Linked DNA regions of Nothobranchius furzeri. The protein of the gene in region 5 binds, or shares a complex with, the protein of the main gene of each other region. Links are inferred from orthologs where the notes say so. Each region holds a gene or a part of one and is shown on either strand. Other genes may lie near its edges. The genes, in order: lsm5, prpf8, ppih, lsm8, prpf4, lsm6 and prpf31.

Evidence for each region.
Region 1: prpf4 (region 5) and lsm5 share a complex: the UniProt entries of both Homo sapiens proteins name them as parts of the precatalytic spliceosome. The link is inferred for Nothobranchius furzeri from reciprocal best matches to the Homo sapiens genes PRPF4 and LSM5.
Region 2: prpf4 (region 5) and prpf8 share a complex: the UniProt entries of both Homo sapiens proteins name them as parts of the U4/U6-U5 tri-snRNP complex. The link is inferred for Nothobranchius furzeri from reciprocal best matches to the Homo sapiens genes PRPF4 and PRPF8.
Region 3: the proteins of prpf4 (region 5) and ppih are in contact, whole or in part, in a crystal structure (PDB 1MZW), measured with the Homo sapiens proteins. The link is inferred for Nothobranchius furzeri from reciprocal best matches to the Homo sapiens genes PRPF4 and PPIH. Residues at the interface, in NP_004688.2 of Homo sapiens: Arg113, Gly116, Glu117, Pro118, Ile119, Thr120, Leu121, Phe122, Gly123, Glu124; in NP_006338.1 of Homo sapiens: Phe14, Arg26, Phe46, Cys47, Thr48, Gly49, Pro57, Ile58, Gly59, Tyr60, Lys61, Gln173, Cys174, Gly175, Glu176, Met177.
Region 4: prpf4 (region 5) and lsm8 share a complex: the UniProt entries of both Homo sapiens proteins name them as parts of the precatalytic spliceosome. The link is inferred for Nothobranchius furzeri from reciprocal best matches to the Homo sapiens genes PRPF4 and LSM8.
Region 6: prpf4 (region 5) and lsm6 share a complex: the UniProt entries of both Homo sapiens proteins name them as parts of the precatalytic spliceosome. The link is inferred for Nothobranchius furzeri from reciprocal best matches to the Homo sapiens genes PRPF4 and LSM6.
Region 7: prpf4 (region 5) and prpf31 share a complex: the UniProt entries of both Homo sapiens proteins name them as parts of the U4/U6-U5 tri-snRNP complex. The link is inferred for Nothobranchius furzeri from reciprocal best matches to the Homo sapiens genes PRPF4 and PRPF31.

What each region holds. Positions count from the first base shown.
Region 1 is NC_091747.1:62,679,445-62,683,199, reverse strand, and holds lsm5 (U6 snRNA-associated Sm-like protein LSm5), read right to left. Parts: upstream 2,285-3,755; 5' UTR 2,207-2,284; coding exon 2,161-2,206; intron 1,110-2,160; coding exon 1,014-1,109; intron 927-1,013; coding exon 899-926; intron 828-898; coding exon 755-827; intron 678-754; coding exon 645-677; 3' UTR 501-644; downstream 1-500. Other genes in the region: late secretory pathway protein AVL9 homolog, read left to right, coding at 2,849-2,935. UniProt on the Homo sapiens protein: Plays a role in pre-mRNA splicing as component of the U4/U6-U5 tri-snRNP complex that is involved in spliceosome assembly, and as component of the precatalytic spliceosome (spliceosome B complex).
Region 2 is NC_091753.1:37,704,106-37,707,605, forward strand, and holds part of prpf8 (pre-mRNA-processing-splicing factor 8), read right to left. Parts: coding exon 3,369-3,500; intron 3,282-3,368; coding exon 3,162-3,281; intron 3,050-3,161; coding exon 2,860-3,049; intron 2,680-2,859; coding exon 2,560-2,679; intron 2,022-2,559; coding exon 1,887-2,021; intron 1,809-1,886; coding exon 1,679-1,808; intron 1,565-1,678; coding exon 1,368-1,564; intron 1,163-1,367; coding exon 956-1,162; intron 7-955; coding exon 1-6. UniProt on the Homo sapiens protein: Plays a role in pre-mRNA splicing as core component of precatalytic, catalytic and postcatalytic spliceosomal complexes, both of the predominant U2-type spliceosome and the minor U12-type spliceosome.
Region 3 is NC_091755.1:32,545,059-32,548,984, forward strand, and holds the start of ppih (peptidyl-prolyl cis-trans isomerase H), read right to left. Parts: upstream 2,801-3,926; 5' UTR 2,684-2,800; coding exon 2,618-2,683; intron 1-2,617. UniProt on the Homo sapiens protein: PPIase that catalyzes the cis-trans isomerization of proline imidic peptide bonds in oligopeptides and may therefore assist protein folding. Participates in pre-mRNA splicing.
Region 4 is NC_091741.1:34,219,555-34,223,603, forward strand, and holds lsm8 (LSM8 homolog, U6 small nuclear RNA associated), read right to left. Parts: upstream 2,697-4,049; 5' UTR 2,072-2,696; coding exon 2,041-2,071; intron 1,574-2,040; coding exon 1,533-1,573; intron 1,064-1,532; coding exon 936-1,063; intron 813-935; coding exon 722-812; 3' UTR 501-721; downstream 1-500. UniProt on the Homo sapiens protein: Plays a role in pre-mRNA splicing as component of the U4/U6-U5 tri-snRNP complex that is involved in spliceosome assembly, and as component of the precatalytic spliceosome (spliceosome B complex).
Region 5 is NC_091746.1:69,563,499-69,567,447, forward strand, and holds the start of prpf4 (U4/U6 small nuclear ribonucleoprotein Prp4), read right to left. Parts: upstream 2,801-3,949; 5' UTR 2,663-2,800; intron 1-2,662. UniProt on the Homo sapiens protein: Plays a role in pre-mRNA splicing as component of the U4/U6-U5 tri-snRNP complex that is involved in spliceosome assembly, and as component of the precatalytic spliceosome (spliceosome B complex).
Region 6 is NC_091744.1:10,586,904-10,591,199, forward strand, and holds the start of lsm6 (U6 snRNA-associated Sm-like protein LSm6), read right to left. Parts: upstream 2,801-4,296; 5' UTR 2,712-2,800; exon of another isoform or gene 2,671-2,711; intron 2,651-2,670; exon of another isoform or gene 2,546-2,650; intron 2,301-2,545; 5' UTR 2,289-2,300; coding exon 2,195-2,288; intron 1,382-2,194; coding exon 1,268-1,381; intron 904-1,267; exon of another isoform or gene 789-903; intron 1-788. UniProt on the Homo sapiens protein: Plays a role in pre-mRNA splicing as component of the U4/U6-U5 tri-snRNP complex that is involved in spliceosome assembly, and as component of the precatalytic spliceosome (spliceosome B complex).
Region 7 is NC_091745.1:76,602,936-76,605,408, forward strand, and holds the end of prpf31 (U4/U6 small nuclear ribonucleoprotein Prp31), read right to left. Parts: intron 1,117-2,473; coding exon 988-1,116; intron 901-987; coding exon 802-900; intron 727-801; coding exon 613-726; 3' UTR 501-612; downstream 1-500. UniProt on the Homo sapiens protein: Involved in pre-mRNA splicing as component of the spliceosome. Required for the assembly of the U4/U5/U6 tri-snRNP complex, one of the building blocks of the spliceosome.

The DNA.
Region 1 (3,755 bases), on a different chromosome or scaffold from region 5:
TTTGTCGCTTCTATTTTTCTTCCGTATTTCCTCTTGTTCCGCCATCTCTCACAGCAAGATGAGCGTCAGTAACGTGATACGTCATGAAAACCGAGGGCACCCATTGGCTCATTTCTTCTTCTACGGCTCCACTGGTAGATCAGTGGCTCATTACTGCCACACACTGGCGGCAAATTTAACAGCTTGTAACCGATGTCTGATTGTGGTAAAAAATAGACTTTATGCGGTAAAATATGATTATTAAACAACTAATCGATGACTAAAAAAGTTGTTAACTATTTTAATAATCGATTATAATCGATTAAGTCGATTAGTTGTTTCAGCTCTAGATCGGTTCCACGTTTTTTGTTCATGAGTCAAAAGTGAAACTTCTCATTTAGCTTTACAGTCCAACAAAGACTGGATGCTGGATTTTATCACTGGTTTCTGATGGTAACACTTCATTTTGTCCCAATGTTTGCACTAAATTTACTTTTTATGATAAATAAATGAAACAAGGATGTTTTTCAAACAGATTTATTTGCAACAAAGACATCTTAATTCCCACGTGAGACCTGCTTCTTTTACTAAAAACTGAACAAAGAATGTTACAAAAATATGCTCCAAAAACCTGGAGAGAATAAACAAAAGACACAAAACAGGATTTACACTTCTGGTCCTTCTCCTCCAGGAATGAGCTGCAGGAGAAATGAACCCGACATGAATCATCCAGCTGAGTGATGTTTGAGAGAGACCGAAGCCGTTTGTGTCCTACCATGGTGATGTTGTTTCCATTGAGGAGGATCTGATCCAGTTTGGTTATTCTCCGTCCTTCTGGTGTGATCTCGCTGGAAGAAACACCAGGAGATGAGCAGGATGAATGAGGCAGACACCGGTTAATAAAACAACGTACACTTACAATTCTGTCACATCCTCCAGCACCATGTCTGAAACACACAGTTGAGGACCAAATCTGAACATGTCACCTCTGAATCACGCACTACAGCTGATCAGCAGCTTTTAAGGAAGGATACTGACAAAGTCATCGAACCCCAGCAGGGTGCCGACGATTTCTTTGTCGGTTTTCATGACGATGTGAATTCGAGAGCCGATACATTTGTCCACAAGCTCTGAAAATATAACAGGTTAGGTTATTTTCTACAGTTTTCAGTTTGATTTTAACAATTTTCTAAATAACTAATGTGATGTTTAGCATCTAAAACCAATCAGGACCAACTACTAAAAATCATTTTTTCTTAAGGGAAATACTGTTGAGGTTTGTACTGCACATACACTAATTGGCCAGTAGGTGGCAGAAGAATATGACTAAATCTAACTGAATATATGTCGATGGACGAAATGAATTTTCTTGTCAGTTGTCAACGAAAGTTGTTCACGGGTGTGACTACTTTGAATTTAAATAACACAATAAGTTCAGGAGTATTATTATGACTGCTGCAGCTCAGCTTTTGCTCATGTTCAGACACGGACAGGTGTACAATCAGCACGCCATCCTCATTAAGGCACCCGAGCTGGTTTGACTTTTTCAGGTCATAACTGCTGTAAAATAGGACACAATCACTTCTTTTAGTTTTTAGACTGCCACAAATACTCCTCTGTTAAAATAAATTAGGTAAAAACTCACGCTTGAACACGAAATTATTGCTTTATCTGCAGCTAGCTAAAACCTGCTGGTGTTGCATCGAGATGTGTCCCCCATCTAAACCAGAATCTCCGGGGGTTTTCTTTAAAACTTTTTCTTTAAGCTATAATATGTTTTAAATGGTAAAATGTTCCTTATTTGACTTTTATTAGTAAATTAATGCAAGCAATAAAGATGGCTGAACTAAGCATAACCCCCACGAGTTCCTAAATTTATCAAATACATGCAACTGCTTACTTCACAAATTACACATACTGACAATTAAATCCGTACACCACAGATAATATATTTTAGCAGGAGGAACACAATCCTGTGACTAGAAATCTTGTCAGGAAGCGGGGACACGGTTTACTTCGGTGAAAAGATCTGTACGTAACACCGGCGTGATTTTACCGCTAAAACGGCTCACTTCTGTTTGCTACTCACTAAATTAGAACTGCTTGTTCGGTTCTTATTGAAATGTATCTAAAGGCGAAACTATCTGAAGCAAGAACGGAACAAAATTAGATTTTACGAACCCAGAGGGAGCAATTGTGACGGGTTTGTCGCTTGAGTAGCCGCCATGACTTTCTTCGTGTGACTGCAGCAGTCACAACCAATCGAATCAAGAGCAAATCGAATTCAGGCAAGAATAGACAAACTCTGATTTACTTTGGAATGCTATAGATAAAAAAATATACTTAAATTCCCCCACAAAAAATAATAAATAAAACATCCAAAACAACAATCACTTTAGAGGCAAAAATATTTGAGTATAAGACTTAAGTATGGATTTTGCAGCATGGAGAGTTTATTTGTTTACTTCCTGTTTCTGGTTAAGTTATGCTTGACTGATTTTAGGATTTGATCAAAATCAGATATTCGCAAGAAAATATGTCAGTAGATTCATTGGAAACAGGTTGTTATAAATTGTGTAAATGCGACTTGAACCAGTTTTTCATTTAAAAGCTAATGCTAACAGCTAATCCGTGCTCTGACCCCGATGGATCTGACAGAATCGGTAACGCAAACACGGAAGTGAGGAACAGGGAAACATCTTGTTGAAATCTAGCTGCAGCGCTGTGTGTGTGTGTGTGCGCGCGCGCGTGAGTGTGTGTGCGTGGGAAAGATTCGGGGCTCAAACTAGGCTCCGTTCGCTGTGTTTACATCCGAACCCCCTGAGTTCACAAACGCCACCGGACCTCCAGAACAGAAGACTGAGGGAAAATGGAGTCTCACGGCAGCGAAACTGAAGGGAAGGGGCCGGTGCTACACATCGTGGTTGTTGGATTTCACCATAAAAAAGGCTGTCAGGTACGAACCTGCTTCATGCTAACTGTGGCTAGCTCTGGTATAAAGGTGCATTCCTACTAAAACATTAGAATGGAGGGTTATGGTCCAGCTCACTGCAGGTGAGATGGATTTGATGCAGATGGAAATATTAATTTTAACCGTCTTTGATTTCTAGCTGTTTGTGCGGAGTTATATAACATCTCTTCTGGCTGCCACCTCAGATAATTTTCCAGTTGTTTCCAGCAGCTGCTCACCTGATCCCACATCCGGTTGGATCTCCATACTAATTGATTATCTAATGTTCAGTAACGGTGATGGGCAGAATAGGAAGAAACAACAATAATCAAAGATGCTACAAGCTTTAAAAACTGCATCAGAAATATCTCAGTTCCTCTCAAAAATGTGAAATTCGTTATTTTCCTTTCAGTAACTTGCATTTTGGTATTTTCTAACTGACTCTGAAGCAAAACTTCCTTTTATTTGGTGGCATGATTAAACCCAAGTCCTAAAGTAGTGCATATTTTCAGAACAAATATTTTATTCATACAAACATAAAAAAGAGGCTTTCTTGTGACATCACAGCAGCCACACCTCCCTTTAGCTCAGCCTGCAGGCAAACCACTTTTCTCCCACAAAACCAGATCTGGATGCTTTTTACCTGAGTAACACACTCAGAGCTCAGGTGTGTGTAAACGTGCTAACATGAACTTGGTGCCTTGCTGCTTTCTTGTCTGATGAAAGCAACAGGAAACACACGGTTAGGTAGTGAACGCGTCCCTGAAGCGTTTGGTCTGAGCGGCTCTAATGGATCTTTTAAGATCTGGAAACAGTGATCCTCCTT
Region 2 (3,500 bases), on a different chromosome or scaffold from region 5:
ACCATCCTGGAAGTAGAAAACACACACTTCAGAGAGATACAACATCAGTGATTGGGTTAATTAGACCTGAATGCACCAGTGTCCGAACAGCGAGGGGCCAACTGCAGCTACAGCCAGCAGTAACAGAAACACCAAGAAATGATCACATCACACCAATCCTAAAATCTTTGCATTGGCTACCAGTAACTTACAGGATTGATTTTTAAAGTCCTTTTACTTGCTTTTAAATCATTAAATAGCCAAGGACCGCTGTATATAGCAGATGTTTGAAAAGTACTGCCCTTCTAAATCACTTAGGTCAGCAGAAAAATACCTATTGGTACAACCCAGAGCTCGCACCAAGCACGGAGAGTCTGCCTTTAGCTGCTATGTGGTCCGTCTCTGGAACCGTCTTCCATAAAGACATAAAAACCTCTCCCACCACTTCCATTTTTAAATCCAGATTAAAAACCAAACTTTTTTATGATGCCTTCCATTAACCTATCTGTGGTCTACTTGGTTTATTTTTTTTTTTAACCTGTGTTGTTAAATTTATTCTATGTTTTTGGTATTTATAACTAGTCTGTGCAGCTTTGTTCTTTTATAAGTTTTAGTAAAATTTTTACTTGGTATGCTTTTATTTTTGTGTACTATGTCCTGTATCAGTACTCCTTGGTTTTATTATGCATAACATGATGTGACATTTAAAGCTGTGATTGTTTTAACTATGTGAAGCACATTGGGCTACCGTTGAGTATGAAATGGGCTATATAATAAACTTGACCTGACCATTCATCTCATTCCTCTGGTTGTTACACACAGTCAAGCTGACCAATGCAAGTGTGCCTTTGTGAGAGGACTTCAAAATAAAAGCTTTGGTTTTGTTTTAGGTCATTTTACTGTTTCACGTTGCAGAACAACACGTAAATATAGAGTACAGATGAGATCTGTAACAAAATATAAAATCTGCTGTTACCTTCAGATAGTTGTGCTGCCTCTCCTGCTCAGCTTTCAGGTACAGACGGGTCAGTCTGCCCAGGTTCTTCTTGCACACAGTCTTGTCCACAGTGGCTCCACGGCGAATTCGCTCACGATTGTAGTGAGCCGTGTTTGTCCACCAGTCGGCTTTGGCCTTCACGTAACGCAGGATCATGTTCTCAATGGGAGTCGGGAGACCGGGCACCTGAAAGAGAGAAGAGCCCGTCTGTAATGCAAATGCGTGACTTTGAAATTATTTTTACTTTCCTGCAAGTCTTAAATTGGCTTTAGGTTTTCCTACATGTTGTACTACCAAAAACAAATTAATCATTCATTTAGAGGAACCACAACAAATACAGCCTGTTCAAAATGGAAAAGGTGGTTAAGTCTAAGGAAACTAAGAAACTTACCTTCCAAGGAATGTTTGCTTTCCAGCATCTCCAGGACTCACTCAGGTGCTGCAAGATGGTTCTGGCCTTGTTCTGTTTGATACCCTCAGGCATCATGTCCAGGATGTCGTGCATAACAGCAGCTCGCAGCTCCAGGTCAAAGTGGGACTCCACGCGCTGTTTGGTTACGGTCTTGGCCACGCCCTTTGAGTGACGTCCTGTTGAATCGACAAACAGAAAGCTCAGCGAGGCGGTTTAATCTCTCTCACCAACTACCTCTGAATGTGTGAACAAAATCACTCTGTGGTTAAAATAAAAACATGATGCTAAACCTTCAAACTGCCTGGCCAGCAGATTGCCGAGCCACCTCTCCAGCAGCGGAGTGATTCCTCTCATGAAGAAGAGCCACACTCTCCATCCCGGAGCCCAGAACCCACAACCTGGACCTTTGCCAACAGGACCCTGGCCAAAAACACATTTCTTTAAATTAACACCCAGAAATGATTTAAGTACAAACAACCCAAATACACATTTACATACTGTGTTGAAGCGGTAGTAGACAAGATGCTTCAAGTCTTTACACATCCGGATCTGCCTCATCAGCTTGTACTTGTAGCGGTACATCCCAGTCAGCTGTCCCACGTGGGCGAAGATGTACTGCAGCCCATCAGCCAACTACAACACAGAACCAATGCACAAGTTCATTCTTCTGTTAAGCCCCATTCCCACCTGTACCGGGTCGGCCTGGGCCGGTTAGCGTAGGTTGTTTACATATCTGGGTGGCCTGGAATTTTCCCGGGCCAACCAAGGCTCATTCTCGGCCCTCTTCCCGAGGGGTACTGCTTCAGGCCGACCAGGGCCAACACGACCACTGCTGACAGCAAATTCACACCTTCCATTAGAGCAAGCCTCTGATTGGTGGGTAGAATCAGCCCATTCACACCTTCCATTAGAGCAAGCCTCTGATTGGTGGGTAGAATCAGCCCACATGGGCTTAAGACAAGGATGTGTGGAATCAACCGGGCCAGGCTGGGGCCGACTGGGGCTACCCGGCCCGGGCCGACCCGGTACAGATGGGAATGGCCCATTAGATACTCCAAGTACATTTGGACATTGGCAAAGTAAACCTCAGAGGAACTTTACACTAACCATCCACAAAATGTTACTTGCATTTGTAGATCTTGAAACAAAAGCTAAATAAATGATAACCAACCTGGAAGGCATCAACATTCCCCAGTCTGTACTGAACGTGGCTGTCCACCACCAGCTTGCTGAGACGCAGAACTTCTCTGCACAGGTGGAAGGCGTTTCCAAACCTGGACTTCTTTCGCTCCTGAAGGACAACGACAAAAATGCTTTTTAAAACAGATGGAAAAATAAATATTTGAACCAAAATAGATGTTGGAATTCAACAAGAAAAAAAGATTTAAAACTTTTTTACACATTTAAGTAATTTCTTTCATTCTTTTGCAGAAACAAGATCAAGCGAGTGTCTCCACCAGGGCGCTTGTACCTTGGTGGTCAGGGTCTTGACAGGCTTCAGGTTAAAGTTGTAGTCCAGATGCAGGTAGTTGAGGTTCTTACGGTGAATTAGCAGATTGAGCATGTTGTAGCCCTGTCTGCACACCTGCAGGCCGACCTCCACCCAATCCAGCTTGGTGGACTGGAAGAACTTTGTAGCTTTGAAGGAGCGGAACAGATACCTGTATGAAGAAAGAGGCAGGGACTTCATCAAATAATACGACCAATGAGGAGAGAAAGCTTTAAATTAGAGCAAATGAACAGGAAATAAAAATGAAATCCAGTGAAGGTCACCTCTTCTTCTGAGCCTTGGGTGGTCTGTGTTTGAGAGCGTTGAGGACATAATACTTCAGTAGTTTTTGGTATGAAACACGCACTTTAACTGGCTGTCCTGCAGGGCAATGCTCTCGGTACCTGTAAAGACATATTACTTTTATTTTACAACTGCACAAAAATAAATAAATACAATTCTTACTCTTCAAATGACGGCTGTCCGCTCACCAGTTTTTGACCAGAGGGATATCGATGGCACGTCTCGTGCGGCCAGAGCGGAGGTTGAAGGGCCTTGGAGCCCAAAGTAGAGCGATGCCATTGGCTGTGTTGTCAGTGTAGAGAGGCGTCTCTTTGAGGAAG
Region 3 (3,926 bases), on a different chromosome or scaffold from region 5:
TTCAGGTTTTGTGTGGAAAAATACATATAGGACTACAAACGTTCGTCCCACTAAATTGATATAATTGACCCAGACAGAGAAGAGGGGGAGATCAGTTTAGCAAAGAATCCTTCTTCCAGGACCAAAGAAGGAGCATTAAACGAAACGTGAAAACCACCATAAATCTGGCTATCTGATAAGTAGCAGCTACGCTGGGGAGAAAAGATTTTGTCGGGACGTCATATATGCGACTTCTGATTTGTAGTCATTTTATTTACGAATTTTTACAAGCAAACAAAGCTGAAATTACATGACATAATTGTGATTCAGGGCGTAAGGCAAAGCGGGTTATTTTTTCTTTGCTCCAGGGACCCATGAGCTGACTGGAAGGGGAGGAGACTTGGGTTCTTATTATCAAGTTTTACATCCTGCTGTTCCAGCGGGTCGCACTGGCTCATGAGCTCCTGTGGTTTCACAGACTTTGTTTAGATCATCCACTCAACGTCATTAGTTTCGCAGCAAAAGAATTATTCAAACTACGTCCACACGAATGAACTGTTCGGTCCTTTATTGTCAACGACGTAATTAACAGTGTCCATCTCTTTTTTTCCATTTGGGGCTCTCATTTTTCTACTTTTACCTGAAGCAGGAGGCTACAGATACACAAACATGAGCGGTTAGCAGCACATCCGCCTGGCTGCTACTGAGCTGTGGGTCTCTACTCTTCATACCGAAGTTCTATCTTCCCACTCTCACATGTCCATCGAGGAAAAGTTGTTTTGAAATATTTATTGCCATCGTTTCATTGCCCAGCCCTACCTTCAGTCCTTCTGGACAAATCCTTATAGCAGAAATCCACTATGATTAACAATGAATAATGAGAAGTGTTCTAACAGATTGAAGGTGAAACATCTACATATGTTTGAGATTCTGCTGCAAGTTAAATTTTGTTTGGCCAAGTAGGGTGGAGTCACCTGGTCTGAACGAGGCTGAAGGTAAGGCTGCTACAGAACATATAACAAATTGTTTCTAATTATGGCTTTCTGCTCTGGGTTCAGATCAGTTACAGCCATTTGTGTAAGTTTCCCAGTGACAAGCAGCTACATGTTGTAGCTTTAGAAGTGAAACATCCTCTTCAAATTAAACTAAATCAGATGCCGTTTCCTGATTAGGTTTGTACTGAAGAGCATTTGATGACTTCAGCTGCAGTGAAGCAAAGAGAGGGGAAATGTCCACATGAAGTCATTGTAATAAAAAACTTTACCGATTCCATAATCATATCCTGCAACACGACTTCAACAGAGTTAAAGCTACATTTCAAACCCAATCATATTCAGAACCATTTTTTCCCTGTATGTTTACAGGGGAGCTGGTGTCCATCTCCAGCAGTCACCGAGCGAAAGGCAGGGGTTCTCACTCCATGCAGAAATACACAACCAGTCTCACACAGAAGCAAGTTATGGGCCATTCCCATCTGTACCGGGTCGGCCCGGGCCGGGTAGGGTAGGTTGTTTACATATCTGGGTGGCCTGGTATTTTTCCGGGCCAACCAAGGCTCATTCTCAGCCCTCTTCTCGAGGGGGTTTGCTTCAGGCCGACCAGGGCCAACACACCCACTGCTGACAGCAAATTCACACCTTCCATTAGAGCAAGCCTCTGATTGGTGGGTAGAATCAGCCCACATGGGCTTAAGGCAAGGATGTGTGGAATCAACCGGGCCAGGCTGGGGCCGACCGGGGCTACCCGGCCCGGGCCGACCTGGTACAAATGGGAATGGCCCACTAGAGCCCCCAATGAACCGAACATGCATGGTTTTGGTCCATCAAAGGAAACAGGAGTGCCCAGGAAAAGCCGACGCAGAAATAGCGAGAACATGCTCTACACATAAAGGCCACAGCTGGAATTCAAACCAGCAGCCTTCTTTCTGAAAGTCAACAGGACAACCTACTGCATCGCCGCCCTAATGCTACGTTTAACAGAGAAAAAATAGTGAAAACATGTCTTTGCCCTGAAATTCTGCAAAATTTTGCACACATTTTTAACGGTTTTGTGATTTTTCATTATTGAAAATAACTCACATTAGTTTGAAATTATTAATACGATTATTTCAAACTTTGCTTTATAATCAGTGGTCAGGGGTACTTTGTAAGTATATGAGAAGTATCCATTTGCATGCAGTGTCTGCTATGTTGAATGAACATGTTCAGCATCGACACAGATCTGCTGTTTTGTTAATGTCCTGGTGCATGCTTTAAAAAGCAGGTGAGCCAACCAAGTTCTTACTGGTGGCACTTGCACACGCAGAGCCACTTTCTCAAACCTATAAAATCTTCTTGGTGTTGATTGTCGAATGTTGAAATGGAAGATAAAAAGAACCTCAATCTCGTTTTTATTCAAGTTAAACGTTTTCTCTGCGCCTTTCAAAGCACATAAATATCCACTACTTAAACAAAACGTTAAACGTAGCACTGATTTACTATTATAAGAAACAAATAAACTAAACATAATACCTAAAATTCTGCTTACTCTCCCATAAACTTAATCAAAAGGCGACTTTGCGTTGAGATGAGTAACTGAGCGCGGTGACGTTGACAGCACGTTTTCGGTAAAATAAAAAGAACTTTTGGGTTCCACTGACCTGCCCTCCGATGGTAATGTCAAAGAACACGATGGGGTTGTTTGGGTTTGTCGCTTGAACAGACATCGATATGTTTTGACCGCTTTTGCACAGATTTCAAATTACAAATCGGCAAAAAAAATTACATACTAGCCATTTGAAAATAGAGAGCATGCGCAGAAGAAACTTATGGTGGCTCGCGAGAGACAAGGTACGAATTGCAACTAGGGACAAAAACCTAGACATGCATTGTATATATTTCTTCTTTAGACCCTGGCTAATGTTGGTGTAAATCTTTTGTTTCCCATAGCTATGTTATTACTAGGATTTCACATAACTTAAATCCAACCTTTTCCTGATGTTTAGCAGTTCAAAAATGCAAATTTAAAATGTTTCAAATTTTATTTAAAGGTCAGCTGGAAATAAATAACTAAATATTAAAATACAGTCTCAGTGAATAGTAAAAACAGAATTAAGTTGAGCAAAATAAAATGCAATGTACGTCTTGACTCCACTGTCCTCTTTAGAAGAAGAGAGCACAGGAGAACCCAGGAGAACACGAATGAACACTCTAGAATGATTTTACCAGAGCGCCACCTTGTGCTGCATATTTTTTCACTAAATAAAAATAGTCAAATATTGAAAACACGACTTGGGAAATTCGCAAGAAATAGAAATAGGTCAATTTTGGATGTGTTGGACAAGTAAAAAAACCCAGTATTTTCCAACATAAAAACACTTGAAATATCTTATTATACACTGAAAGATGAGTAATGTATAGTTCCTAGTGGCTAAATTATGCTCAGAAAATTATAATTTTCTCCAACTCATTATAATAGAGATTTACTAATATAAATGCTTCAAACATGTTTTGTATGATGTATGGCAAAACTTCAAGTTCAGTATTTGAATCTAGATCTATAAATGTATAAATTACTTATCTTTACTTCATAGACTTGAAAACTATTTATTTTTGCAGGGCAGGGTATGCCATCAGAGTAATATTTTAAATAGATTTTCAAAATAACATCTCCGACTTGTTCTTTTGATTAATTATTTCATATTTCTTTTCATGGTTCGTTTTCAAAATGTCAAAAAATGTTAACAGGTTAATATAAAGATTTGTGTGCGCGCGCGTGCTCGTGTATTTTTTATTTATTTTTCAAAACAAATCCATGACTAGATGGCAAAAAGTCGTAATTTACGAGGTACAATGAATGTGGCACAGAACCTTGTGTACCGTCTGTAGGAGGAGTCGTGTGTGCTTCACTATCCGAAAAAGCCACACAAAAGTAGACCAACACGGAGGAAAGACAGCTGTTCTAATACT
Region 4 (4,049 bases), on a different chromosome or scaffold from region 5:
TTTATTGTGTGGATGTGCATGTTGTGTTTACTTGTCCAAGGCAATTCAATTTCCCCCTTGGGGATTAATAAAGACAACCTTGAACCTTGAACATCGGGGCTCTCCTGATAAATTCCTGCTTGACAAAGCGCTCCCCTCCTCTCCCGGCTCCACGAACGATTCTCAAGTGGATTCAATCGCCTCTAATCCAAGCGAGCATCGGCAGTCAATGCTAACGATTGTCCATAGGCAGCCCCGATTAATCGATGCTAGACAAATGAGAACAGGACAGATCCTCATTCTTCTTCCAGATGGAGAAATAATTACTCATTCATGACTAAAGATATCAGAACTAAAATAGAGACCATGAGCTGTTTGAACAAAGCCGTAGAGTTGGCGCTATTTAATGTTTCTTTGGCAACGATCTTGTTTTTCCACATATTTTATTAAAGTTTCATTGTTTATGTGTTGTTTTCTTGTTCTGCTCCAGAGTCTGGATGTTTAGAGACCGGAGGACTTCATTATAAACAGCTTAACAAATCAGACTTTATTAAAATGATCTCAGACTGACAAAAACATGAAGTAGAAAACAAATCCAACATGTTATTTATAAAAAATACAAACAGAAACAGAACAATCGAGGTTCTGCAGCTTCACCACTCATCACGCCTCCCAGAACACGACAGCAACAGAACTGAGCTGTACTGTGATGGGTTGCCATGGAGACAGCAGGGTTCAAAGGTCAGTGTACAACAGAGTTGAGCGGCTCAGCTCTGATGTTCCCTAAATCCAGCGTGGAGTCGGTCTCCTCATCAATCTCCCCGATCACGGCGCTGGAGCAGAAACACGAGAAACGGTTAGAAGCTGTCCGAGGAGCAGCCGAGCTCCCCGTGCACCGGGACGTCCTTAGGGGTCATCATTTCTCATTTAGTTTTAGTTTGACCGAGGTGACTCACACGTTGTCTCCTCTAACGATGTAGAGGCCCAGCACCACCTGCTCCACCCCCTGGTTGGAGCTGAACACGCGCTCGTGGCTCTCATCCAGGATCAGGTTGATGGTCTGATCAAAGCCCTTCAAAGTGCCCTGAACACCCAAATGATAAATAAATAAATATAAATAAATAAGTACAGCACCTTTCAGTCAGAGGATTCCAAAGCAACTTAATATTATTATTCATCAACACGCTGGTGGTGTTGAGCTACAATGAATCATACTTAAAACAACCAGGCTAATAAAATACTAATAGTTCAGATTACACTTGAACTTTTATTTCAAAATGATTTTCAGTTATCTGCAGTTTTATGCCCCAAAACAGTAAAAATCTGACCATAAAAGTAAAAACGTGTCTGTCAGCATCTGTAGTGATGGGAACAGGACTAGATTTCTGGATTTACAGTCGAGGGAAAAACTAAATCCCCTGTGACCGACACCGGTTTAAATGAGGCTTCGGTTCAGGTGGAGGGGAAATCCTTGTGCTGGAGCCTCAAACATCTAAACACCAGAACCGTATCATCTTCTCTGCTGTCCAGCTGAGCTGAAAACGTGAACTCACCACGATCATCCTCCCGTCTGAGGTGACGATGGCAACAGTTCCTGGATCAGCTGGAGTCAAGGAAACATCATCTGTGCACAACTCATCAGTAAATTACGTCTAGCTTCTCCGTTTTCACCCGAACAACAACGATGGGTGTGCTTCAGTTAAATAACCCGACATCTTAAATCAGAAACAAACTAAATATATTTTATTCACAACCCGTGAAACCGAACTAACGCAGATCAGAACCGTTAATATCTACGTTTTGACGCCATCTGATCATATAAAATTCTATCAGTGATTTTTTTTTATGCAAACACTGATTTGAAATTGAACTGCTACGTAAAAGTTATTCCAGGTATGTTCATTCAGTTCTAAATAAAAATGAGTAGTTTTTTTGTCGCTTTAGCTTTTACCGTCTCTAAACTCCACCTAAACAACAACAAATTACATAAACATCGAAGCTAGCGCGCTAAGCTAACTAGCACTTCTTAAGCATGCAGTTAGCATGCTAGCAGCAAGATACGGTTGATGTAGCTCTCCAGCGCGGTGGACATGCTTCGTCCCGGACTCGGTCTCTATCTGTCCAGCAGAAAAATCGGTAAATCCCTCCAACGGTTGTCTATTTGCGCCGCTGTGTAAAAAAATAAAACGGAAAGAGCATCAAACCGCACCGCACCAAAACACCGGAGACAAGTCAAGACTAATCATACGCCGAATCATCGCGCAGGAAGGGGCGCGGAGGGTCGAGCGGTGACGTTTTTTTTATTCAAATTCCTCCAAATGTTATCATCAAACATTGATCTGGAAAGTTGTTTAAACGTGTGAGTAGGTGATGTCAGAGCTACAACCCTAAAGACAAAATATTGGGTACAGAAATGAAACACACTATAGCCCTATCAGTGGCGCATTTAGCAATTTGGGGCCCAAGGCGAGCACAGACATGGGGCCCCCTTAAAATAAATTTCGGCAATCTTACTTTTAATTGGATTTACAAAACTCTCCCCTCTTCTGCCATGAGTTATTTTCCCTTTTTATTAGTCCTCCTCTTTATTCATGTCTTTCTCTCCCTTTGAGTGCCTCCAATATTTGCTCTGCTTTCTTCTTCCTGTCAGTGCTCCTGAGCTTTTGCCTTTTTTAAATTTATTTTTCATTTTGGTCTACGTTTTCCTCCCTTTAAACATTTTCTATTGTCTTTCCTTTTCTGCTTCCTGATGCTCGAGCATCCGACAGAGGTGGAAAGTAATGAATTACATTTACTCACGTTACTGTAATTGAGTAGCTTTTTTGTATATTTATACTTTTTAAGTCATTTTTAAAATCTGTACTTTTACTTGAGTAAGTTTTTTAAAAAGAATTGTAATTCGCTACATTTTAAATCATATCCGTTACTGAGTAAAAATAAATTATAGGCTTAATAAATTAAAAATATTACGTGAAGCAGCGTCAGAACGGAAAGAGACACCTGCATGAGGACCGCATCTAAACCGGGGGTGTGTGGGGGTGTACACTTTTGCTCAAAGACATCATCAGTTCAGTCGATCAACTCGCTGTTTATCACCTCTCTCCCTCCTCTCCTGTGGTTGGAACCTGCACCTTCGCGCACCAGTGTGACATCATCAGAATTCTGCTCGGTTCGGTAGCGAGACTCGGTTCCGTGTTTGAAATGTGTTTCCCTACCGCTCCGCACGGCAGCGGCAAAATACTGTTTAGTGCTCATAACAAGCGGATTATCAGCGCTTTGCTCATAAACAGAAGAGCTGCAGGCCTCTGTGAGTTAAAACATCATGATACTGTTCAGGTGTAAACATTGTGCTCCATCCCTGTGTTTGAACTCAGAAGTTGCTCCTTGATGCCACAGATATGTGATGATTTAGCTTGTTTCTTTATTTTACTCCAGAATTAGAGATTAAATTATTACTAAAGCAATTCAATGTAGTTAAATTAGTCATGGCGTGCGTGTGTGTGTGTGTGTGTGTGTGTTACACATATAGGACTGCATGAGACAGCGTGGTTTCATCAAATCCATGCATCTCATATCTTGGGTGAAGTAACGGCTCAGGAAAATAACATATATTTCATAAATAATGACGTCTCTGCAGTGTTTATGATAATGTTTTATCTTATCTTTGGTCTGGGAGGTGTAACTTATCATGATACAAGCCTTTTAAAACATGTTAAAGTGTTACAAGAGGAGATAAATGCATGAATTTAAAGTTCATGTTTGGAGGCTCACGCTGGTGAGGAGACACCGTTAGTTCTAGTAACACCTGGGCTCCCAAGGCCTGTTCTGACAGGATGGATGTTACGGGACCCTTAAGGATTCCAGTTGGATGATTGGAGGATTATTTAGGAGGATTGAAATGAACAAACTGATTTCAGTGGTGAAGGGTTAAATGAGTGAGTGAACCCACTGCCAAGGATGAACTCTGCTAGCTTTAAAAATCAGCTGCTCTAAATAAGCATGAAGGTCAGAGAGGATCTCTAGGATGGACATGGATAAAGGAACTGTAATGTAGAGGTAAAGTAGGGCAG
Region 5 (3,949 bases):
GGCTCTCATAACACCTGAGCAGTGCCACAGACTGATCGAGTCCATGCCACGCCGCATTACTGCAGTTATTGAGGCAAAAGGAGCCCCGACTAAGTATTGAGTGCTATACATGCACATTCTTTTCATGTTCATTCTTTTCAGTTGGCCAACATTAGAGAAACAAACATTTTTTCATTGGCCTTTAGAATATTCTAATTTTCTGAGATACCAGATTTGATGTTTTCATTGGTTGTCACCTATAAATATCAAAATTAAACGTAATAAACATCGGAAATACATTGGTCTGTGTGCATTGCATGAATATAATGTACAAGTTTCACGTTTTGAATGGAATTACTGAAATATTTTCAACCTTTTGATGATATTCTAATTTACTGGCCAGCACCTGTATAAGAATTATTAACATCATCAACATAAACATCAGTCCAATCAGAGCAAAACAGTTCATATTTCAGAGCTTCAATTGCAACAGAAGTTTTTTTTCTAGTTGTGGTATAATTTACATTTTCCAGAGATGTTTCATCACTTCTCATCATTTCCACCACAGTAAACACCAGTAAATGATCAGTAATATCAGTTAAAAAAGGCCATTCTTTGTCTTGACGTCAGATTGATTTATGAATATATTATCAATCGGTGTAATACTACGGCTGTTATCCTGCTTGGTCTCAGTATCAACGGAAGGAAACCTAAACTAAACATTAAATTGATAAATTCAGCTATTTTAGTATTATCATCTGATTTAAACATATCAGTATTATAATCACCACAAATTAAAGCAATTTTGTTCCTACATTGCCCAAATAATGTTTCAATACGTTCATTAAACTGATCTATAGAAGAACCAGGACTACGATACATACAACTTATAATGATGTTTCTGGATTTTTTACACTTAATTTCAATTGTCAGACACTCCATCAAATTCTCAACAATGAAGGTCATATTTGTTAGTTTCGTACAATCAAAACCAGTCCTAACAAAAAGTGCTACCCCACCCCCTCTTTGTTTTGTCTGCTCTGAGTAAACATTTCATAGCCATCCAGTTTATTCAATAACTCTTTTCCATCTTTGATCCAGGTATCTGAAATTGCAACTACTGTAAGTTTCTCCTTGAACTCATTTAGGTAATCTGAGATCTTAGATAAATTGTTGTAGAGACTTCTGCTGTTAAAGTGTATTAATGAAAATCCACACATACTCACTTTGAAGTCCTCTACAATATAATATTCACAGTCCAGGTGGGTGTTGCTGCAACCATTAATTTCTGAGTCAACTCCATTATCTATCAGATTTGATATTTTTTTTAGATTTTATGATCTACATCACTGACAAACCTAAAAAAAAATCTATTATTTCCTGATTTCTTGTAGTCTGCTGTGTCCATGAATTAAATACCATCTTCTTCTCATCATTTGAGTTTTTCCAGTTCAGAGAGGCTCTTGATGCTCACCACCATAGCCTGTTCTGGTGGTCCAGTAAGCTTGATCATTACTTTACAGTTCCTTATCCAGGTATCCTGTATTTTCCTCTCCTTCTTCAGAATTCTTGCTTGCCAGGCAATCTCTGCATTCTTCTTTGTCAGGTGCTCATTTACATACACTCCTGTGCCCTTAAGCTTCTTTACGACCTTTAACAAGTCAACTTTATGTTTCCTGCTCACAAACTGAATTATTGTTTTGTTTTTTTTTTCCAGTTTTTTTAGGAATTGTGTAGCATGCAGCTATAGTGGTGCTGTCAATAGAAATGCCCTTACTTCCAAAGAACTGAATAACTTGTTTCTCCAGTGACAAACTATTAATGGTAAATGGCCTGTATTTGATATAGCGCCTTCTGAGTCCTGCAACCCCCCAAGGCGCTTTACAACACAATCAGTCATTCACCCATTCACACACACATTCACACACTGGTGGGGATGAGCTACGATGTAGCCACAGCTGCCCTGGGGCGCACTGACGGAGGCGAGGCTGCTGAGCACAGGCGCCACCGGTCCCTCCGACCACCACCAGCAGGCAACGTGGGTTAAGTGTCTTGCCCAAGGACACAACGACAGCGACAGACTGAGCGGGGCTCGAACCTGCAACCTTCCGATTACGGGGCGAGATCTTAACTCCTGTGCCACCATCGCCCACGCAATGGTGGGTTAGGGTTAGTTCATTATTTATTAACTAACATTAACACTAATTGATAAATTTTTATTATGTTGTTTGAACCCAAGGGTCTCATTATCAGATTTTTTTAACTTGTTGGATTGATCTAAAAGTGCCCCCTTTTTTTTTTTTTTTTTTTACTTTGAGCCCCGCCCCGTCAAAGGTCTCTGCACGGCCCTGGTTTCAGTAGAACGAGCTCTACGAAAACCTGACTGCCTGGAAGCTATCATAGATGTTATGAGTGAGTTAGTAGTGAACTGGTGCTGCAACCCACACCAGTAGTGAACTGGTGCTGCAACCCACACCAGTAGTGAACTGGTGCTGTAACCGTAGCTGTGCAGAACACACACGGACCGCACGACGAAACCATAGAAGCGTTCTGATGTTCGCACGTGACTCGGAGCTAACGGCTCACGGACACGCGTGTCTAGCCGAGCACGCGCACCTGCTGTTTGGACCATAAGCGTGTTTCTCTGTTTTAAAGCTTCGTTTGTTTTGTTGTTCAAACTTACCGTAAAAACAGACGAAGCCGCAACGTCTCCTAGCACTGCAACCCGGATATGAAACTGTTGGCTTCCGGGTCAAAGCTTCTTTTTCCGGTTGGTGGATCCGTGGACTTATGGGTAATTAACCAATCTACCTGTTAGCCAGATAACCAAACAGCTGACGATCAGGACGAAGGAGAGTCTCGGTGCGTCAGGTAAAGTCACCTGGGTTCGTCACACAAACGGGTTCGGGTGGACGGAAGTAAAGTTGACATGATGTTCACAGATTCGACTTTTCCGCCTCAACAACTTCGGATGTTCTGGAACATAACGCTGTGTGGAGTCAACCCGCAACACCTGCGTTATTTAAAACCTCTGCTTGCGACGCTTTTACGTTGATGGGGTGACGGTGGCACAGGAGCCCAGAGCCCCCCCTTAACCGGAAGGTTGCAGGTTCGAAACTCATAGAGTTGCGTGTTTTCCCCATCCATGCGGGGCTTCCTTGCGGGGTTAGACGCGGTTTTCCCCCCCTACAGGCTAACTCTTGTAGGTCTGCCACATAAATCAACTTGCCCTGCTCTCCTAACATTTTTTGATAAATGTGTCTTTAATTAGGTGAATTTTTAATCTCCTCCACAGTAGGACCCTAAACCTAGTGGCGCCAAATCGTCACAGCTGATCGATACTCTTGTGCCCGGCTTGGTAAACCTTTTAGGTTAAGAAAAACTGGTTTTCTGATGTTGGGTGAATTTTTCTAACTTGAATTATCAGTAGGTCCTACACAATGCACGGTGGTGCCACCTGCTGGTGAAGGTGGAGGTTTGTCAGCAGTGGCAGAACCAACATTAGGACGAATTACTGGATGCTTTCTTTGCAGTGAGATGATAAAGCATCTGGAGGGCTTGTTAGTGACCTGAGCAGTGAGAAGCGTGATCAGTGAAACATGTAAATGAATGATAAACGACCCACGCTTGTGTAGCACCTTTCAGAGCCTGAGGACTCCAAAGCGCCTTACACTACAGTGCATCATTCATCCATTCACACGCTGGTGGAGATGAGCTACGATGTAGCTACAGCTGCCCTGGGGCACACTGACGGCCAAGGCTGTCAAGCACTGGTGCCACCGGTCCCTCCGACCACCACCAGCAGGTAAAGGTCTTGCCCAAGGACACCACGGCAGCATTCTCTGTCTGAAGCTGGGATCGAAATTGCCACCTTCGGGTTAGTGGACAACCCGCTCTACTCCTGAGCTGCTGCTGTCCATCATGTAGTTCTGAGCTGCTGATAAAATTCAGGGCTGACTACAAAATCTTG
Region 6 (4,296 bases), on a different chromosome or scaffold from region 5:
AGACACTTTTTCTGCACGTGCTGCAAACAGGATAGCCGTCTTCTATAAACTGTCCCTCGGCATTCTTCAAATATTCAAAAAATGCCCGTACTTCCCACTTTGTTTTCTTTGAGGTATAATAAATGTCCTGCGCGCTGCCGTTTCCTCCTTTGGCCATTATTTCAGCTTTAGCTTCAAGAAAGTTTTGGTTGTAAACAACAAAGTGCGCATGTGCCGCTGGCAACTTCAACAGATGATACGGTGGCTGGTAAGGGTCACCGCGCCTACACCGCAGCCACGGTAAACCACCGAGATAATATAGTTTTTTTAAAAACGGACGGTTATTATTATTGTCAACTTTTTTTTATTTTACCGGGGTTTACTGCTACACCGGTTACCGTGACAACCCTACCTGATCGGTCTGCTTTGATCCATTTTGAAAACTCCGATCAAAACCGATAGGGGCGCTATCGGCCAGTTGGGATCAAATGCCGATCCATCGGTGCATCCCTAGTAGTCAGTCGCAGCTGTATCTGCTCAGTCTAGAGAGGCACCACAAAAATCACACAGGTATCAAAATATTCCCTAACCCTACTTATTAACCCTATTAATGTAGAAGTTTACACTTCCAAAATATTCTATTTAATATTTAAATTCAAACAGCATATTATATTTAAAAATCACCCAAAATTAGTATCACTTTGAGGCAACACAAATCAGTTTCTGCCATCAGAAGCTAAATCAGTACATTTCTAATGTAACATAATGAATTAATTAACAAACGATGCTGTAAAATAGTAGCATTTTACCAGTTTTTTCAAAGCAGCAACAAAGGGGCTCGATGTTTTCATCGGAAGTGAGCTTCCTGTATAACTCCGACATGGTTAGTTTCCCAACTTTAAAAGGGAATATCTTGTGGTTTTCCTATAAAGATAGGTTTGAGGTGCAAAAATGCTTAATGAGAAAATGAAAATAAACATCTTGTGGTGCATGACTTTGAAAGTTTCATTTAAAAATTGTCAACAAATTTAAATCTCTAATCACTTTGGATTGAAAAAAAAAACCTAAACAACTGAAAGATCTATTAGAGCACACAGTGTAATAATGTTGTCTCTGTGAGCTAATAAGAATGAGGCTAGGAAGTTGACTGCACCAAAGACTCAGATCATGGCAAATGTACAGCCTTCATAACCTGGAATGTTTAATCATTAAATATGACTTGGAGCTATAGTAACAGAGGAAAACGGTGTTGTATAACGCCCTGCAGCGTGAAAACATCAAATCTTACCATTATTTCCTCTCAAAAAGGCATCTCCATACTTGTTTTTGAGTTGTCCATTGACATACTCCTCCGTCTGCTCTATTGCGATGTTCATGTAACCATCCAGACAGGCCAAAACACCTGCTCAGAGACAAACACAAACTTCAGATTAAAAATAAACTTACCTGGGCAATAAAACAACAACAGACCTGAACGTGCCAGCTAGGGAAGAGGGGCATACTGTTTTTTATGCATTTTGATGCAAACATAAACCATTACAAATTCATTCAAAAATTATCAAAACAGATTTTAATAATGATCATTATTTAGGTGAGTGTAAAAGGCAGACATCTGAAGTGCAGAAGTGTGGCACATTATGGTGTGCAACTGGGATGGAGTTTGAGTCTTGACTGAAGAAATAAATACATCAAATACTGAAAAACTGAACATTTTAAACTGTAACAAAGATGTCTGAGTAGGAGTGTTGTGTCAAAAAGTGTTCCTCCTCCATGTATCTGTGTAACCTGTGTGAATCTCTCTTTAGCTTGGTAAATGAATTAATATCAACACAAACACAAATAGTTTGTTGAAGATTAAAGCAAAATTTGGTCCTCACGAAACTTTTCAAGTTTATTCCAATTACTCAGCATTTAACTGGAGTTTAACTGCAGTAATTTAACTGTTTTTCAGTTAGTGTTTGTTTCATAGTTTCTAATCCTATATGGGATTACATCATTCAACTTCCTGTCTGCCTGTATAAAGAACTTAACTGTAATGAATTAAAAGATCATTAAAAATTAAAAGTAGTTGTCAGGGGGTCATTGTCTAGAACTAAACATGAGGCAGAAGGCGTAAAAAGATGCATCAATGACTGCTTAACAAACCCTCTGATTCATAACCTAATCAAACTCTGAGAACCCTAAACATTCCCACACCTGATGCCAGCTGCATTACCTCTGTAATCAACACCAGAGTTCAGTTTGACCACGACAGGTCTCCCAATTATCTGCTTCAGAAAGTCACTCGGGGTCTGCTTTCTCAAACTCATTTTCGCTTTTATCTAAAAGAATAAAACAGATGAGTAAATCTCATTTTATCACAATAAAGAACCGCATTAGCATTACCCTAATACACATTTAAGCTATAATTGATTATCTAGTAACAAAGGCATTATTCAAACCCGAGAATATTAAAACGAATAGCTGTAGCCAGATAGTACACGCCTAAATGCAAAACTATGTACGGTTAAAACGTTCAAATTATCAAATGAGCTTCTATGTAGCTAGCGAGCTAAGTGCTAACTACCAGCTATTCCGTGGGTCAGTTCGTTAGCCTCTAATAGCGTAGGAGATTGTTTAACAATAAAGTACAATGTACAGGTATTGTTACATCATAACAGATCCTAATAAGATAGGAAATAGATGTTTTACTAGTTTTACAGATGCGAACACCGAGCTAGCAAGTTACTCACTGGATGAACGATCTCACAACGATTTTATGTTCGGCGCATTGACCAATCACATTGGAGGACTACGGAAACTATGTAGGGACAAATGTCCTGAAAGCGCAAAGTTTTAATTCGATAGACAAAACAAGAATATTTAAAAGTACATTTTAAAAATACGATATACCCATTTCCTTTAACAAGTTATTTTCTATAAATGTATTTCTAATATGTTGTAATTAATATTATATCCACTGGCTTTCATATTATAATATACTAAAGTTTTTTTGTTTTGTTGTGCATTGTTATACTTTGAATAAACTGAAGCATTAGTAATATTTCTATTATGTAACAAATTCATACAGAAAATGAGAAACTACTGTAAATATGTAAAAACATAATATTTCATGTGAATGTCTCATTGTATTATTTTACTATTCTTTTTACAAATTCAAAATTTATCTCAATGTAATGTGGGATATGCACAAATAAGCCTATTCCAATTTCAGGTACATTTTCTTTCTTCTTGATCTGTAAGTGTTCAAACGTTTAAAAGAAAGAAAGAAAGAAAGAAAGAAAGAAAGAAAGAAAGAAAGAAAGAAAGAAAGAAAGAAAGAAAGAAAACAATCTTTTCTGTAGCTCCTCTCAAGACAAAAATCTCAAGGCACTTCACAAAAATATAAAATATAAAAAAGGTTTCAAAAAATGATTTAAAATATGTTCAAAATAAGCAAAAATAGACAATTGTGATTAAAAAGGCAAAGAGAGAGAGAGAAAGAAAGAGAGAGAGAGAGAGAGAGAGAGAGGGAGACAGAGAGAGAGAGAGGGAGAGGGAGAGGGGGAGACAGAGAGAGAGAGAGAGAGAGAGAGAGGGAGGGAGAGGGGGAGACAGAGAGAGAGAGAGAGAGAGAGAGAGAGAGAGAGAGAGAGAGAGAGAGAGAGAGAGAGAGAGAGAGAGAGAGAGAGAGAGAGAGTGAACAGGAAAGAGGGAAATCAGTGAATCTTGGGGAAATGGGAAAATGTGCACAGTATGTACAGTCTATGATGTGCACTTAAAAAAGACATCTTTTCATTCTTATAAACACATCACTTGTAAGTCGCTTTGGACAAAAGCGTCTGCTAAATACATAAACATAAACATAAACATGTGCCTGGTGAAATATTTTCTTATTATAACAAACATTTGTTAACATCACAAAAACTATTGAACCAATGGAAAACTTTTTTGTAGTTGTGAAGAAGTCTATGAATAAAGTGTATGAAAACAAATAATTCTTTTAATTATTCTAACGAGTAACCAACTTCGGGTTTGTAAAAAATATTATAGACACACACACACACACATATATATATATATATATATATATATATAAACCTTGGATGCTGGGAGCACGACCCAAACACTGCACAGCTTGGGAGGTACATGAGAAATGGTGTATGGGGGCAAACAAGGATGAAATAGTGGGGAGAAAAACAGAAGAGCATAGAGGGCGTGAGGATGTGCCAGTACGTGTTAGTGGAGACAGAAAGGTTGAGAGAGAAAGTAAGAGAGAAACAAAAAGAGAGAGACAGAGGGGGGATTGTGAAAGGTGGAATCATAAAGTACTTCTTG
Region 7 (2,473 bases), on a different chromosome or scaffold from region 5:
TGGGGTCGTGTTTCCAGACTTTCCTCGGTGGTCCGAACGGGCGGAGTGTTAAACAAAAATCCAACTTTTCCATTTTTAAGTGTAATAGAGGAAAAAAGAACTGCAGATCTGGATGATGTTAAACTCATGTTTCGGATCAATTTTTGATTTTATTTTAAGGAGGAGGTGTTGAAGGGGGGAAAAAGAAGATGCAAAGTTCTGAGATCTGCCTTTAATACATTATATTTTTGGGGCTTTTAAGGTTTTCAGAGAGGAAGGTCAGCTAAGAAGTCGCAAAAATGTGAATTTCAACCGTTTTCTCATCACAGTTCTGCATGGGAGATGTTATAAAATGGGATTATGAAACAGTTGTAAAATTTCAATAAATACTTTTAAGAAATTACACATGGGTGTGTGGTGGTGTAAGGTCTCGCTGCTCCCAGGGGGATTCGCTCTGCTTACAAGGTGGTTAAACCTAACAGGTCAAAGTTCAGGCGTAAGGTTCTAAAGGTGGCACACGCTTTGGGGTTTCTGTGGTTTATTCACATGAAGAAAATGGTAAAAAAATAAAATAAAAGCGAAGCACAATAGGGGCTAATTTAATGTACATGATGATGTCATCACTGAACACGTTCACATCTTAGCATCCTTTTTGACTTTGAGGAACTCCGCCATGTTGGAGAAATATTTCTGGTTGGCTTCAGCCACCTTCTTCTCTGCAGCCTGCGGGTTCACAATCTCCAGGCCCTGCAGATGAATGAATGAATGAATGAATGAAAAGCAGAAAGTAGAGAACTCTTCCACTGATCATCCGGTTCATACCTGGAGCGGAGTGAAAGCGACGCTGGAGCTGGTTCCCGAGGAACGGTCTCTCACTGTGGATTTTCCGCCATAGGTCATGCTCTGCTTCTGTAACGTCCTCTGTTGTGGTTGACAACAGAGAACAAGGTTCAGATCATGGACTATCAATAATCTGGAGGTGGAGATTAAAATAACGACCGAGTTTACCTGCAGCGACTTGGAGATCCTAGCCTTGGTGGCCTCGTTGACTTGAGCCTGCCGGACTCTGCCGCTGCCGCTCTTGCCCAGCTGACCCAGACTGAAGCCCAGATCCTCCTGATAGGCGTCATCTTCAATCTGCAACATCAACGAGCTCAAATCCTTACGGTCAAATAAGCTTTAAAGTCCTAAAGGGGTCGGAGGTGAGGGGGGGCAGAATGACTCGGGGCTGTTGTCCATGATGTTCAACCTCCCAGAAGAGACCGCACAAGTTGCTGTTTGAGGGAACTAAAATTCTCTGTAAATAGCCAGCTAACTAAAGTTAGCATAAACTGGTTTTAATACATATGTTGTGCTCTCTAGAGACGAATGCTTTGCGAGTCGTTTTCAGCTCTTGGCGCTACCGTTTCAGGAAGAAGTTAGCCCGAGGAGTGAGGGATGGAAAATGACGAGATTCAAAGTCTTCCTCGTTAACGATGATGTCTTACTCCCACAAATAAGTCTGATCGTGTTCTGCCATGTTGTGAGGTCACTAATGCTAACGGGGAAATGCTCAGATTAGAAAATTCCTGACAGATCAACGTCACACCGTTGCTCAACATTCATGGAGTCATCTTAACTCGCAACGGGGAGGGCTGTTGTTGGTTTAGCGTCAAGGAAACAGCAGAGAACGTCTCAGCTAGGGGACGCTAACTGTTAGCATTAACAACTTCACCACACAGCAGAACTCCTCCAGGCTTGTGTTATTTGTGGAGATAAAACATCAACGTTGAAGTTTCAGTAGAAACGTCATGTTGCTGTTAGCCAATCAAAAGGCGAGATGTTTGAACATCATTAATATTAATGAGCAAGATAGAATTCCCGCTATTTTCTGCCTCCTTTCCTCCCAACAAACTTCTACCTCACGAAACGGGAGCGCCAGAACTTTTTATTACCACAAGCATTAATTCACACTTGAGACCACAGCAGAGTTAAAGAAACAATGAGAGAACGACTCATTTAAGAGATACAAGTATAAAAACATTTAGGATGCTTAAAGAACCCCAGATCAAAGTCACTTTTGAAAGAATAAAGTTGAGTAGTTAAAGAGCAAGTCACCCCCTACCAGAGTATTACTCAACTCCCACTTCCTGTTTGAAAAATGCAACAAATGCTGTTTCCTAGCAGAGCGAGAGGGCGGAGCCGCTAGGAAACACACACACACAGGCTCACAACGACACTATGGTACCAGCTAACGTTCTAGGGTACCTCTTAGCCAATAGCGATGGCAGATTTAAATTCAAATGCAGTGCAGAGTTTTTACCTGACAACGGCACAACACTGACAGTTTTAGGCTGGGGACAAACCGGCCGCCGAAGCGCTCACGAAATTCGGCCGCAGCTCACTGCTCCTCAGTTCAGACCAGCCGCTTGTTTCTCCGCTCTGGTCGAGGCGCGCCTCGTAGTTTTTCTTTTAACCACTTAGTGTCCTCCATTTCCTCTCCGCCTTTTCCTCT